Schizosaccharomyces pombe: one gene and its partners. Each later gene encodes a partner of the first gene's protein in a complex. Each region holds a gene or a part of one and is shown on either strand. Other genes may lie near its edges.

Region 1 (4,243 bases):
GGAACCAAGCCTGACCATAAACCCTGGAAGCACGAGGAACACTGCCATCACGGTAGGTTCCCTCGTCCAGTTCCCCACAATGGAACCAAGCCCGATCACAAGCCATGGAAGCACGAGGAACACTGCTCATGCCATCATGATAAGTTCTCTCGCCCAGTTCCTCATAATGGAACCAAGCCTGACCACAAACCTTGGAAGCACGAGGAACACTGCCACCATGGTAAGTTCCTTCGTCCAGTTCCTCACAATGTAACCAAGCCTGACCATAAACCCTGGAAGCACGAGGAACACTGCCATCACGGTAAGTTCCCTCGTCCAGTTCCCCACAATGGAACCAAGCCCGATCACAAGCCTTGGAAGCACGAGGAACACTGCTCTTGCCATGAAGACCATTCAGTTCATGAGCGTCCTAGTGCTAAAGGGGCTCTCGAGGACTATATTCAAACATTTGTAGAAACTTTCCAAATTGATGGTATTCGTTTCGATGCTATGGGTGACAAATATAGAAAGTACTGGCCAGATTTTTGCAAAGCTGCTGGAGTGTTTTGCATGGGTGACTTGAAATCTTCCGACTCTTTAAAAGTTTGTGATTGGCAAAACGACTTGGAAGGGTTGAGTAACTTCCCTGTTAGAGAATCTGCTGTAAAAGCATTTTTGATGAATAATCCAGAGGGAATTGTTGATCTTGCCGACAAAATGACTGACATGCGCGGTTTGTGTGTCAATCCCCTATTGTTAGGAAACTTCGTTGAGAACAAAGACCTTCCTAGAATGGCTTCAATTTCTAGTGATCCAGCCACCTTAAAGAATGCAATTGCTTTTGTTCTTATGGGAGATGGTATTCCTATGATGTACAACGGCCAAGAACTTGCCATGCGCGGTGAAGAGGTTCCTTATAATCGACCTGCAATTTGGGAGAAAGGTTTCCCAAAAAGAAATCCTTACTATAAGTTCACGTCTACAATCAATCGTTTCCGCAAAGCTATGATTGAAAGCAAAGACGGAGAAGCTTTCTTAAATATGCAGTCGGATATTAGCATCGTTGATAAAAGAATATTGCTTTTACGACGTGGCAAAGTAATAACCGTACTCAACAACTTAGGTTCATATTACATTCATTTCCATTATACTGTTTCGGCAGAAGAGCACAAGTGGATGGACGTATTATCTTGCAAGTCCGTTCCAGTACAAGATAATCGACAGGTATTTATGGTACGCAACGGTGAACCCATGATCTTGTACCCAGAGGAATCGGCTTATGAGATGGGATTGTGCCCATCTCCAATTCAGCTTACTGAAGATTATAACAGTGAAGGTTCTCTCTCCATTAACGTTGAAGAAGCCCAAACATCAAAGGCACCAGAGCAAAATCGAGGATTTACCAATGTCCTCGCCGCTCTTTTATTATCTTTGTTAATGATTTTGTAGGTATACGTTCCTTGAAATCTAATAATATACAGATTTTTTATTTTACATAAACCTTTTTCATATAAAGTATGATGACTTAGTTTACAGACCCATAGGGCTCTGTACTGAAGTTCATGAACGATAAGTCACCTCAATATAAATAATAGACGGGTAAATCCATTTTAATTTTTGGCTTTAAATTACAAAGTACTCAAGTAAAGCTTTAGCCAAAAAAATTTAAACTCCCATAATGATATCCGACGCAAACCGTCCAAACGTATTCATAATTGCGGTGGTGTGGCTAACTTGTATTTGACACAAGGCGAGCTGCGATACCCAAACACGTCCAGTTCCCTTAAATACTTCGTTGTTGGTTTATATAGGTATTTCAGCAAGTTATACCTAATATTCAGATAATTTGCTTATGCTCAACACAGGTCTACGAAAAGGGCTTGCGCTTTCACCGATAACTCACCTTCTGAAACGATGTAGTTCAGTTACAGACAATGTGCATCGAGTAAACTATTGCTACAATTACCACACAGTTCCTAATCTTTCACAAAGAAATTTGCTACCACTTTTCAGTCCTGAAGCTCTTGACATTGCCTGGGACCAGCATCAACGTCAAGTAGTAAAAGAATTAAATGATCGAGTGAAGGGAACAGAACTTGAGGATTCATCTGTGTTTAACATTATCTTTCAAACAGCCGCTTTGCCTGAGCATGCAGCCACATTCCAGTTTGCAAGTCAAGCTTACAACAATCATTTCTTTTTTCAAAGCTTGATCGGAAAAAGAGCTGCAGATGCCAAAAAAAACTCAAAATATGAAGCTAATGCCGCTATCAATAAAGCAGTCAATGAAAACTTTGGTTCTAAAGAAAATTTACTTTCTAAAATTCATGAGCTTGCCTCAAATAGTTTTGGAGCATGTTGGCTTTGGATTGTAATTGATGATTATAATAGATTAAACTTACTGAGAACTTTTCAAGCAGGTTCTCCGTATCTTTGGACTAGATGGCAATCAAATGATCCCCATCTTATTTCTAGTGTGCCAGATTATAGTGCCAGACCTCGAAAATATGCGCATGTTCCCATTTTAAACCTTTGTTTATGGAATCATGCATATTATAAAGATTACGGTCTTTTAAATCGCTCAAGATACATCGACACATGGTTTGATTGCATAGATTGGTCTGTCATTGAGGAAAGATTGACTAATTCTTTGGTATGAAAGAAAGGTGCAATCAATTTAGATAATTATATCTCATCACAATCTTGTTATGATTTTAAAAAAACGCCTTTTTCTACTTTCACCTTATAAATTTCATTCTAATTTTAATAAAAATTGTGTTTTCTCTACTCGTCCTTGAAACTTCTACAGTAGACTGTTTTGGCTCATGCTCGTATTCTAAATGATTTTAGGCTAATTCCGAGCAATCGAGTCATATAAGTTAAGTAATTTATTAACCAATTAACCGATTTATTGCTTAGAGGTTGAGATTAAAAACATTTTTTTTGTAAAGCTAGAAAAGCGCCAATACACAATGTAATTTACAGTTTATAGTGTCTCTTTTTCATGCAAAATTAAAAAAAAAAGATACCACAGAAAGGAGAAATTGAAATTTTACTGGTGGTTTATTTGCAAAGATAGAGTGGATTAGATTGATATCTAAATGAGAATTGACTAGTAAAGAAAAAGAATGTTCAAGTTAAAAAATCAGTGAGATAAGTGGACGAGCAATTTATCTCCTTGCCGCTGGGTGAACATTTTAACTCTCAAAGAAAGACAGACACCCTTTAGTTATTTGACCACAGGGCTGAATAAACAAAGATTAAAGAGACAAGGGTAGATGCAAGATATCTTCAAGTTATAAAACGAATGAAATAACGTATAAAAGCGATTATTGGATAAATTAATACTCTTCGTCAGCTTCGTACATTTCGTTATCCATAGAATCTTGACCAACCTCTTCGTAATCCCTTTCTAAGGCAGCCAAATCTTCTCTGGCTTCTGAAAATTCACCTTCTTCCATACCTTCACCGACATACCAATGAACAAAAGCACGCTTGCTGTACATAAGGTCAAACTTGTGGTCCAGACGAGACCAAGCTTCAGCAATCGAGGTGGTATTTGAAAGCATACAAACAGCACGATTTACCTTAGCGATTCCACTACCAGGAACGTGTTGGGGTGGCTCATAGCAAATACCGATTTTGAAACCAGTAGGGCACCAATCAACAAATTGGATGGTGCGACGAGATTTAATGCTAGTAACGGCAGCCTGGACATCACGTGGGATAACATCACCACGATACAAAAGACAAGTAGCCATATAGCGGCCAGTTCGTGGATCACATTTTACCATTTGATTATAAGGCTCAAAGCACTGATTCGTAATCTCTTGTACGCTGTTGGATTCATGGAATGCTTTAGCTGCACTGACAATAGGAGAATAAGTGACTAAAGGAAAGTGAATACGAGGGTATGGCACAAGATTAGTTTGAAACTCATTTAAGTCAACATTTAAGCTACCAGCAAATCGAAGAGAAGCGGTGATAGAAGAGACAACTTGAGCAATAAGGCGGTTGAGGTTTTCATAGGTTGGACGCTCAATGTCAAGATTTCGGCGACAGATATCGTAACAAGCCTCATTATCAACCATAAAGGTACAGTCAGAGTTATCGAGAGTAGCATGGGTAGTGAGCACAGAGTTGTAAGGTTCAACAACGGATGTGCTCACTTGAGGGGCGGGATAAACAGAAAATTGGAGGTTAGATTTCTTTCCGTATTCCATGTTCAAGCGCTCCAGAAGTAAAGCACCCAAACCCGAGCCGG
Region 2 (3,910 bases), on another chromosome or scaffold:
TACACTAGTGTTTATGCAAAAGTGAAATTTACACTGATTCATAAAGCTAAAGAATTTTAAACCGCTAAAGTAACGCGTTGCTCCTCGTAAAATATCTAAAGGTAAAATGATGATGGGTTAGTAAATTTGAAATATTCGATGGATTAAATAAGAAGCTGGGGAAAAATTATGCAAAAACTATTAATAAGAAGAAAGAATTGTCATTAAAATCAAATTGTATACATTAGTCAACCTTGGTCAGAAGAGGTCTGATGAAAGCTATGAATCAACGAAGAAAAAATGGAAATAATGCTTTATTCTTCAATAATTATCAATATTCAAACTTAATAAACGGCTAAGTTTACAAATTATAAAGCCATTAACACTTTCAACACTTTTTTAAATTTTATTTTATCAGGGCAGATTTACGATACTTCATGAATTGTTAATAGTCAATTAATTTCAACAAAATTTTTAATTAATTATTTTAAATTATCCATGTCAATTCCATCACAATGTCAAGCCAAATTGTATTAAAGCAATATTGCAATGGAATAAATTAATAAAATATCGTTGTCTGAAGATTTCTGTAATAGGTTATTTATTCAATTATTTTATAATTTTTTTTTTTTTTTTTTTTTTTTTACAAATGACTCATGTAAACATTAACAGTCTAATATTACTGTCTACAGATTGTTATATGCATTGACTTCCATTCGTGTTGAGTACTCTAAAATACTCAGCTCCTTAACATTTTTGCAAAGAACAAGTTATGTGGGTCAAGGTATTTAGTTTTTACTTAACTTAAAAGTAATACAATACAAACATTGTAAACATCACGGTTAAAGAACCCAATTAAGCACTATTTCACGTTCATAATAATATAGTTAAATAAAAAATACAGATTTTTTAAATCAAGTTCAATAAAAGATTATTTCGTAAAAAATTTTTTATTTTACTTTGATAGGCTTGAATTAACACATACAGGGAATAATAATGACTAGACGCTGAGCAGATGACTTGCCATCACTCTGTTTACCCCATTTTCTTAAAAACATTGCGTCTTTTTCTTATATTTAAATCATTCTTAAATGGAGTTTCCTGTTTTCTCATGAAACTTACAATTGAATCGAACTTCTTTTAATTATTTACTAAATAGCGCTAGTAATGAAAGTGCAATATTATCTAGCTGCGCATTGTAGTATCTTGTTTGACTTCTGTGAGTTTTCATTGTGATCGGTAATATCATATTATATATAGGTGTGATGTGGGTAGCAATTTGTTGTAAGTATTTATACATGGGTTACGTTGTTACCTGCCATTAATTAACATATAAACGAACCTGTTTCTGTTCAGATGTACTCTGTTTATAATCTTTTGGAGTAAACATGATCAAACACAAACAAGTACTCAAAAGAATAGTTATCAGCAATTATTAGTAAACGAATCTTAAATCTATCCTAACAGATGACATATAGTGATACGCAGCGTAACGTAGTGTAGTCTTGCTTACGAAAATCAAAATATAAGGATAACTAACACACTTTTTAAACAGCGAATGCCAAAAAAGGATGGGAAGCAAGTGCTATTAAATTCCTAAGAAAAAAAAAAGCTTGAAAGTATTATTAGGTGTTTTTATTCAATAGATGTTATAAATGCAATTGAGTAGAATCGATGCTATTTTACGTTACTAACCTTCATTCCAGTCTATTATGTGGTTTTTACTGGTTCTAACTACTAAGATTTAGTGTGTTATAATTATATACAACGAAGTCAAGTCAAGGACAACAATGTTTATACATTCTTCACTATCCCCTTCAAGTACCTTTTTGTAGCTTATTTAATTGTTTTGAGCATTTGGATTGTTAAATTTTAGAAAAAAAGTTTTTGTTAGATTCAGATTTCCATTTATAACGGCCACTCTTTTCGTTTCAAAGAAAATATAAAATCCGGTATCATACACTACTGCGCATTCGTTAAATGTGGTTTATTTTTTTTTATAATACAAATATTACATATATTTAGTGTTTTGGGTGGTTATAAAATGGCTTTTAATCCCCTTTTATCTTTATTGAAAGCAGATGCCATATTCCTCGGGCAACTTTCCAAATCAAGCTTTTGTGCTACTAGTAGAGCTTTCTCTGTTTTCTATTTTACAAGATTTAAGCGAAGTGCTTATGTGTCAGCGCCTTTTGGAATCGAGCCTCATGACGAGAAGGAATTGAAAACAATTGATGATAACGTCCATTCCAATAATCTATCATGGCAGAAAATACAAGAGCACGAGGTCATACGTGAATTGTATAGGAAAGCTGCTTATGAGCTTCCTGGACTTACGCGTAAGTTTACTGGGTAGTTTTACCTTAGGAATTCTATTTCACAATCACTTTAATATGCTTAATGTTCCATTTTCTCTGACAATTATAGCTTACACACAGTCTTTTAAAAAGCCTGCTGATAGCCAGATCTTTAGGTTTGAATCTGATGTCCAAATGTCTTCGTTTGAGAAAATGAATCCGAAGGTCGTTGTTACATTTAAAGTTACGAATATTCCTTTGCTAGAGGAGAAACAACGACATGTATTACGATTATTGGTTGGACCAAGATATAATCCGGAGGAGGATTTAGTCAGAATATCTTCCGACAAGTATTCTTCTGCACTACAAAATAAATATCATCTTATAAAGATATTAACTTCGCTCATTGAAGAATCGAAGAGAAATGCTGAAAAATTTTCACATGTCCCATTGAATACTGGCCATTGGAAATACAAGAAGTGTGATAAACGGATGCCACAGGAATGGCTCGCAGACGCAACTACACTCACTTCTAAAAAGAAAACAACGATTGGCAAGCAATCACATAATACAGTACTTGAACGAGAATCGATAGCAACTACAGATGAATAATATGAAAGGAAAGTTTGTTTAAGTTACTATTAAAATTAACGAGTCTATAATGTAAGCTAATATTGAAGGAATTAATCCTTCTCATTACTATATTAAGATGAAATAAAACTGTAGTATAAAAGGTACTGTTTCTCTAATCATAAATTTCTAACGGAGGGATTTTGTCAATACTACTGAGCCAATTTCTTGCGTTTGATTCGGTAGACATCCATTTTAATGGAAGTTCTACCAACTGTCCCCGAATGCCACGTAGTAAGTCGTAAACTACACGTTTGTCAGGAACTTGTAAACCATTATTAGTACGGGTTTTTGGTTTCTCTGTCTTCGAATCTTCACTTGCACTCGTGTTACCACTACCTTGGGAACCAGCCTTTGGATTTTTTGGATCATTCTCTGACTTTTCATGAGTTTCGTGTAGATTTGACAACTCCTCCTGACGCCAGCGGGCTTGCTCTTCTTTAAAGCGTTTTCCATATTTTTTCCACTCATTATATGATTCCCACGTTAGCATCTCGTCATCCGGTACACATCGAAATATGTGCCGATAAATAGTAGTATTGTTTGAAGCCACTTTAGACCATATGTCTTCAAAAAATTCATCGCAGACGGGGTCCTCAAAGCTTGAAGCGTCAAATTTAGGAATTGTTTCTCCACTAATAGGATTCACCTCAAGCAATGGTATATCATCATAAAACACAAGTCCATTTCCACAGTGTGGACGACTGGGTTCAGGCACTAGATGATCAGGGTCTTTAAGTACCATTGGACGTTGATCCTCCCCACATTGAGAGAACTTGGAAAGTTCATATAATGAGTCCTCCTTTGTTTTCAGTGATAAGGGGATGCCGCCTACTAGGGCGTTGGCTATAACATCAGGCCCTTTTTTAGACTTCTCGTAGTTCTTTTCAAACTCGACCTTGTCCTTTTGAGTTTTAATATTGAATTCAATCGAAGAAGGAATTAAACTGACACGTTGATCTAGTTTCTTCATACTCTTTTCAGCTTTTCGTAAGATGTCTGGA
Region 3 (3,584 bases), on another chromosome or scaffold:
TTGGAAGCTTATATATACCAAACCCTAGATTAGGACTCATCATAGTTGTCTTGTATATAAAACCTACTTGAGTTATAAACTATATTAAATCAAAAAACTATCAAGAAAATATTTTATTTATCACTTTGTTATTTACATGCTTAATACATTCGAATTTTCTATATACTAAGGTCTATTTCTATACTTCTCTGAGCACGCAAACGCAACATAAGTCTTATTTAATTTCTGAACATAAGAAATATAAGCTTATCTTTAACAGCTTTTCTTAAATTACCGCATAATTTTGTATAGGTTTATGTTTTTTTAAAGGTTCCAAATCGACGGATTTTTGAGTTTTAACCCTTCTTTCTTTATATCGTGGTTGTGATTCAATAAAAGTGAACCCAATTGTTATTTGTAACCATTGACGAAAATTATAGTACATTGAATTACTATTTGTTTACTAGTTCTATATTAACAATACCGGGAGGTTCAAAATCAATGATTACTACTTGTTTTCTTTTTCTTGTTATATTTGCTTGCTTGAAATCCTCTTTATAGTTATAATACATTTTTACAACCTGCTTTTGAGAATATTAATCTGGCAACTTTCAAGTAAATGATTTCGGTAATTGCACTGATTTTTGAAAAGTGTTGATTTCGAACGTCTTTCAAATTAAAACGGACATTTTTTTATGAAATTAAAATGCCTTGTGCTTTGTGTAATACTCGTTAAACAGCTTACCGAAACTAACAACCTTTTTAAGAAGCGAAACTTAATTAAATCAATATATTATACTGAGTAAATCAGTAATTTCTGGACGATCGGCCACATAAAGAAGCATTATAAATCGTTCTCCATACTGTTAGGCTTTTGTTTTCAATTCACGTTTTCTTTTCTGTAATTAAAATATCAGTAAAGAATTCGTTATGCCATTATTTTATAAAAAATTTTTATAATCCTATACAATTGTGAATTTACATTGTATTCAAATGCTTTTTTACATCCCTATATTTTACAGGCGTTCGCTGTTGTACCGCTTGTTTTTTTGAACACTGCTTATTATAATTTTTTCGATTATTACATTTGCGAATACCTTTCGAGGATTTTGGAACTACTAAACGCACAAAAATTCGCTTCCCACTTCTGACAACTTTGTGGGTTTCATGGTAATTTGAATGCTATAATATTAACAGATTGACACAGCGATTTAGATCCATATTTTATTCTGTACAAAGTAAATCTCTAACATTTGGTAGACGGCTTTTGCCGTAATAACCGTTGGTTTTGCAATTTTGCGCCTTGTTTTCCAAACATAGTAAACCGGTGCTTTTAGTTTATTATATAGTGATTTATTGTGAACTTTAGTATCGTGTCGTTAATATACTACTATCCAGTGATTACTGCAATGTCCATTAACTTGCTAATAGTGTGTAACACTAGCTACACCGTTCACTACTTACTATTCTTCCAGTACAGAGAGAGGTATTTGGAAGTGACTAGCTAAACTGCATTCATACCTCTTTTCTTTCCTCAAAACACCATTCTGTATAGAAAAAAAAGGCTTTTATTGTTGGACTGCTTATAAAAGATTAGGATTGTGTTAAAAAAGTCGAAATGCAATTGCATTATGTTTTTTCGCATTTGCAAAATTCATTTCGCGCTCGCAAGTCGTTAGCAAGCGTTCCTAACTGTAACAGTGTGCTCGAGTTATGTGCTGTTTTGTATCATCAAGGATTTTTAAGCTCGATTCAACGCGGAGATATTCATGGACCCGATGCTTTACCCACAATCACCACTAGGCAAAATGTAGCGACCCGCCGTCTATGGTTGGGTTTAAAGTACTTTGAGGGAAAACCGGTTCTTCACTACATACGTGCAGTATCAAAGCCTAGTAGAAAGGTGAACTTGACTCCTTCTGAGTTGTTGCAATTTGCCAAAGGAAGGAAAGTTAGCTTTGTGAATGGGTTGGAGCCTGCAGAAGTTGGAATTGTAGAAACTAAACATGGTATAATGAGTATTGACGATGCAATTAAGAATAATTTGGGAGGAAACGTTATATGTCGAGTTAAATGAGGCTTCGATGGAAAAAGTTATTATTACGTACAACTTCTTTCCGGATACATTGTCTCCTTTCTCTATGTTAATAAGAGAATAAACATTACTCATTTGTTTTGAAAATTGAAGCAATATCTAACAGGCTGGTTAGATTTAAACTAATATGTTTAAGTTTTCCTTCTCTTCAGCTAAGGATCAATGGCAGAATTCCTTTTAAATCTCCCACTCCTTTCATAATAGTTTGTGAATTGAGATACTGCATATTTACACATCCCATTCATTAAAAAACATAGTCTTAATTCCCATTCCGCCAAAACATAAATCCTTTTGTTTTACTATTATTCGACTTGTGATTTACGAATAAATGTTTTTTTACACCTGAATTTATCCCGTCTCCTTTTGTCAACTCACAATATTCCATATGCTTAAAATTATACCCGCAGAAGCTTTTTTGGAATAGAAAAAATATTTGTGTTACTCTAGTAATGTAATGATAAACATGTTTAAAATACATAAGGAAAATCGTTTTATAAAATATATAATCGATGGAGATTGTATGCGACTTCTAAAGCATTGTGTAAATTAAATAAGGTTGATTAAGTACATAGGAAGTATTTACAAATGTATAATCTGTGAATGACAAGGATATGTATTTGTCAATACTGCATTTGAAAAATATATTATAAAACCATTATTAAGAATACAATTTATTTAGATCTATAATGACTATGGATAACAACTAGTCGCAATGGTGTAGTTGGGAGCATGACAGACTGAAGATCTGTTGGTCATCGGTTCGATCCCGGTTTGTGACACTTTTTATCAGCAATTACAGCTTTGTAAATAAAGCATTTAACACAATGAATTTTGTGCCAACGCTGAGTAGGAATAATATCTTTCTCTACATACTCTTTAACTGGGCAATCCTGGTAATGTATTTGAGTAATTAAGCAGTATTGAGTCTGTTTTCATCGGCATTGTTATTTAGTAAAATGATTGATTGATGAATGTACACTCTTTCGTTAATTGCAAGAATTTATGCTGTGATAAACAATCATTTGCGCCTTGGATTTTAAGTAGGCTAAGATTTATTTTAAATACTAATGATGTTGTAAATATAAAAAGGACGGGACTCTTTTTAAGAAATATAACTAAATAACACGTGGAAATGACAAAAAACTTGGGTAGTTATTTTCAGAATTGTTCAAGCAAAGCTCAAATTTCTTTCTTTATATATTTATTATTTTCACATGTTCAAGATTTTATTGTCAGAAGCAAATGGCTTTAGTCCACAGTAAATTTAAATAACCAAAAAAATTCATTATTCCTATTAACCGATCTTTATTAACAATATTTTCTCTTCATTCCATACATGGTCGATTGTCCTGCTGCAGCTCAAATCACTATTTCAATTTCATAGCACAGAGCCAACTAACCTTACTCAATGATCCACTAAACAATATTTCGTCTCTTAAACAACAAATAGTCATCTTGATTTGCATTTAATTCAATTGATAATATAGACTTATACATTTATACCTTCCAC

The links. Proteins that work in one complex are often made in the same cells at the same time.
Region 2: SPOM_SPBC16A3.14 (region 1) and rsm24 share a complex: the UniProt entries of both Schizosaccharomyces pombe proteins name them as parts of the mitochondrial small ribosomal subunit.
Region 3: SPOM_SPBC16A3.14 (region 1) and mrps8 share a complex: the UniProt entries of both Schizosaccharomyces pombe proteins name them as parts of the mitochondrial small ribosomal subunit.

What each region holds. Positions count from the first base shown.
Region 1 is NC_003423.3:4,269,526-4,273,768, reverse strand, and holds SPOM_SPBC16A3.14 (mitochondrial ribosomal protein subunit S26), read left to right. Parts: upstream 1-1,736; 5' UTR 1,737-1,831; coding exon 1,832-2,638; 3' UTR 2,639-2,778; downstream 2,779-4,243. Other genes in the region: meu7 (alpha-amylase 4), read left to right, coding at 1-1,428; nda2 (tubulin alpha 1), read right to left, coding at 3,321-4,243. UniProt on the Schizosaccharomyces pombe protein: Component of the mitochondrial ribosome (mitoribosome), a dedicated translation machinery responsible for the synthesis of mitochondrial genome-encoded proteins, including at least some of the essential transmembrane subunits of the mitochondrial respiratory chain.
Region 2 is NC_003424.3:562,147-566,056, forward strand, and holds rsm24 (mitochondrial 37S ribosomal protein mS35), read left to right. Parts: upstream 1-1,779; 5' UTR 1,780-2,023; coding exon 2,024-2,318; intron 2,319-2,327; exon of another isoform or gene 2,328-2,406; coding exon 2,407-2,888; 3' UTR 2,889-2,927; downstream 2,928-3,910. Other genes in the region: phospholipase D Pld1, read right to left, coding at 3,022-3,910. UniProt on the Schizosaccharomyces pombe protein: Component of the mitochondrial ribosome (mitoribosome), a dedicated translation machinery responsible for the synthesis of mitochondrial genome-encoded proteins, including at least some of the essential transmembrane subunits of the mitochondrial respiratory chain.
Region 3 is NC_003421.2:330,497-334,080, reverse strand, and holds mrps8 (mitochondrial 37S ribosomal protein uS8m), read left to right. Parts: upstream 1-1,514; 5' UTR 1,515-1,597; coding exon 1,598-2,056; 3' UTR 2,057-2,601; downstream 2,602-3,584. UniProt on the Schizosaccharomyces pombe protein: Component of the mitochondrial ribosome (mitoribosome), a dedicated translation machinery responsible for the synthesis of mitochondrial genome-encoded proteins, including at least some of the essential transmembrane subunits of the mitochondrial respiratory chain.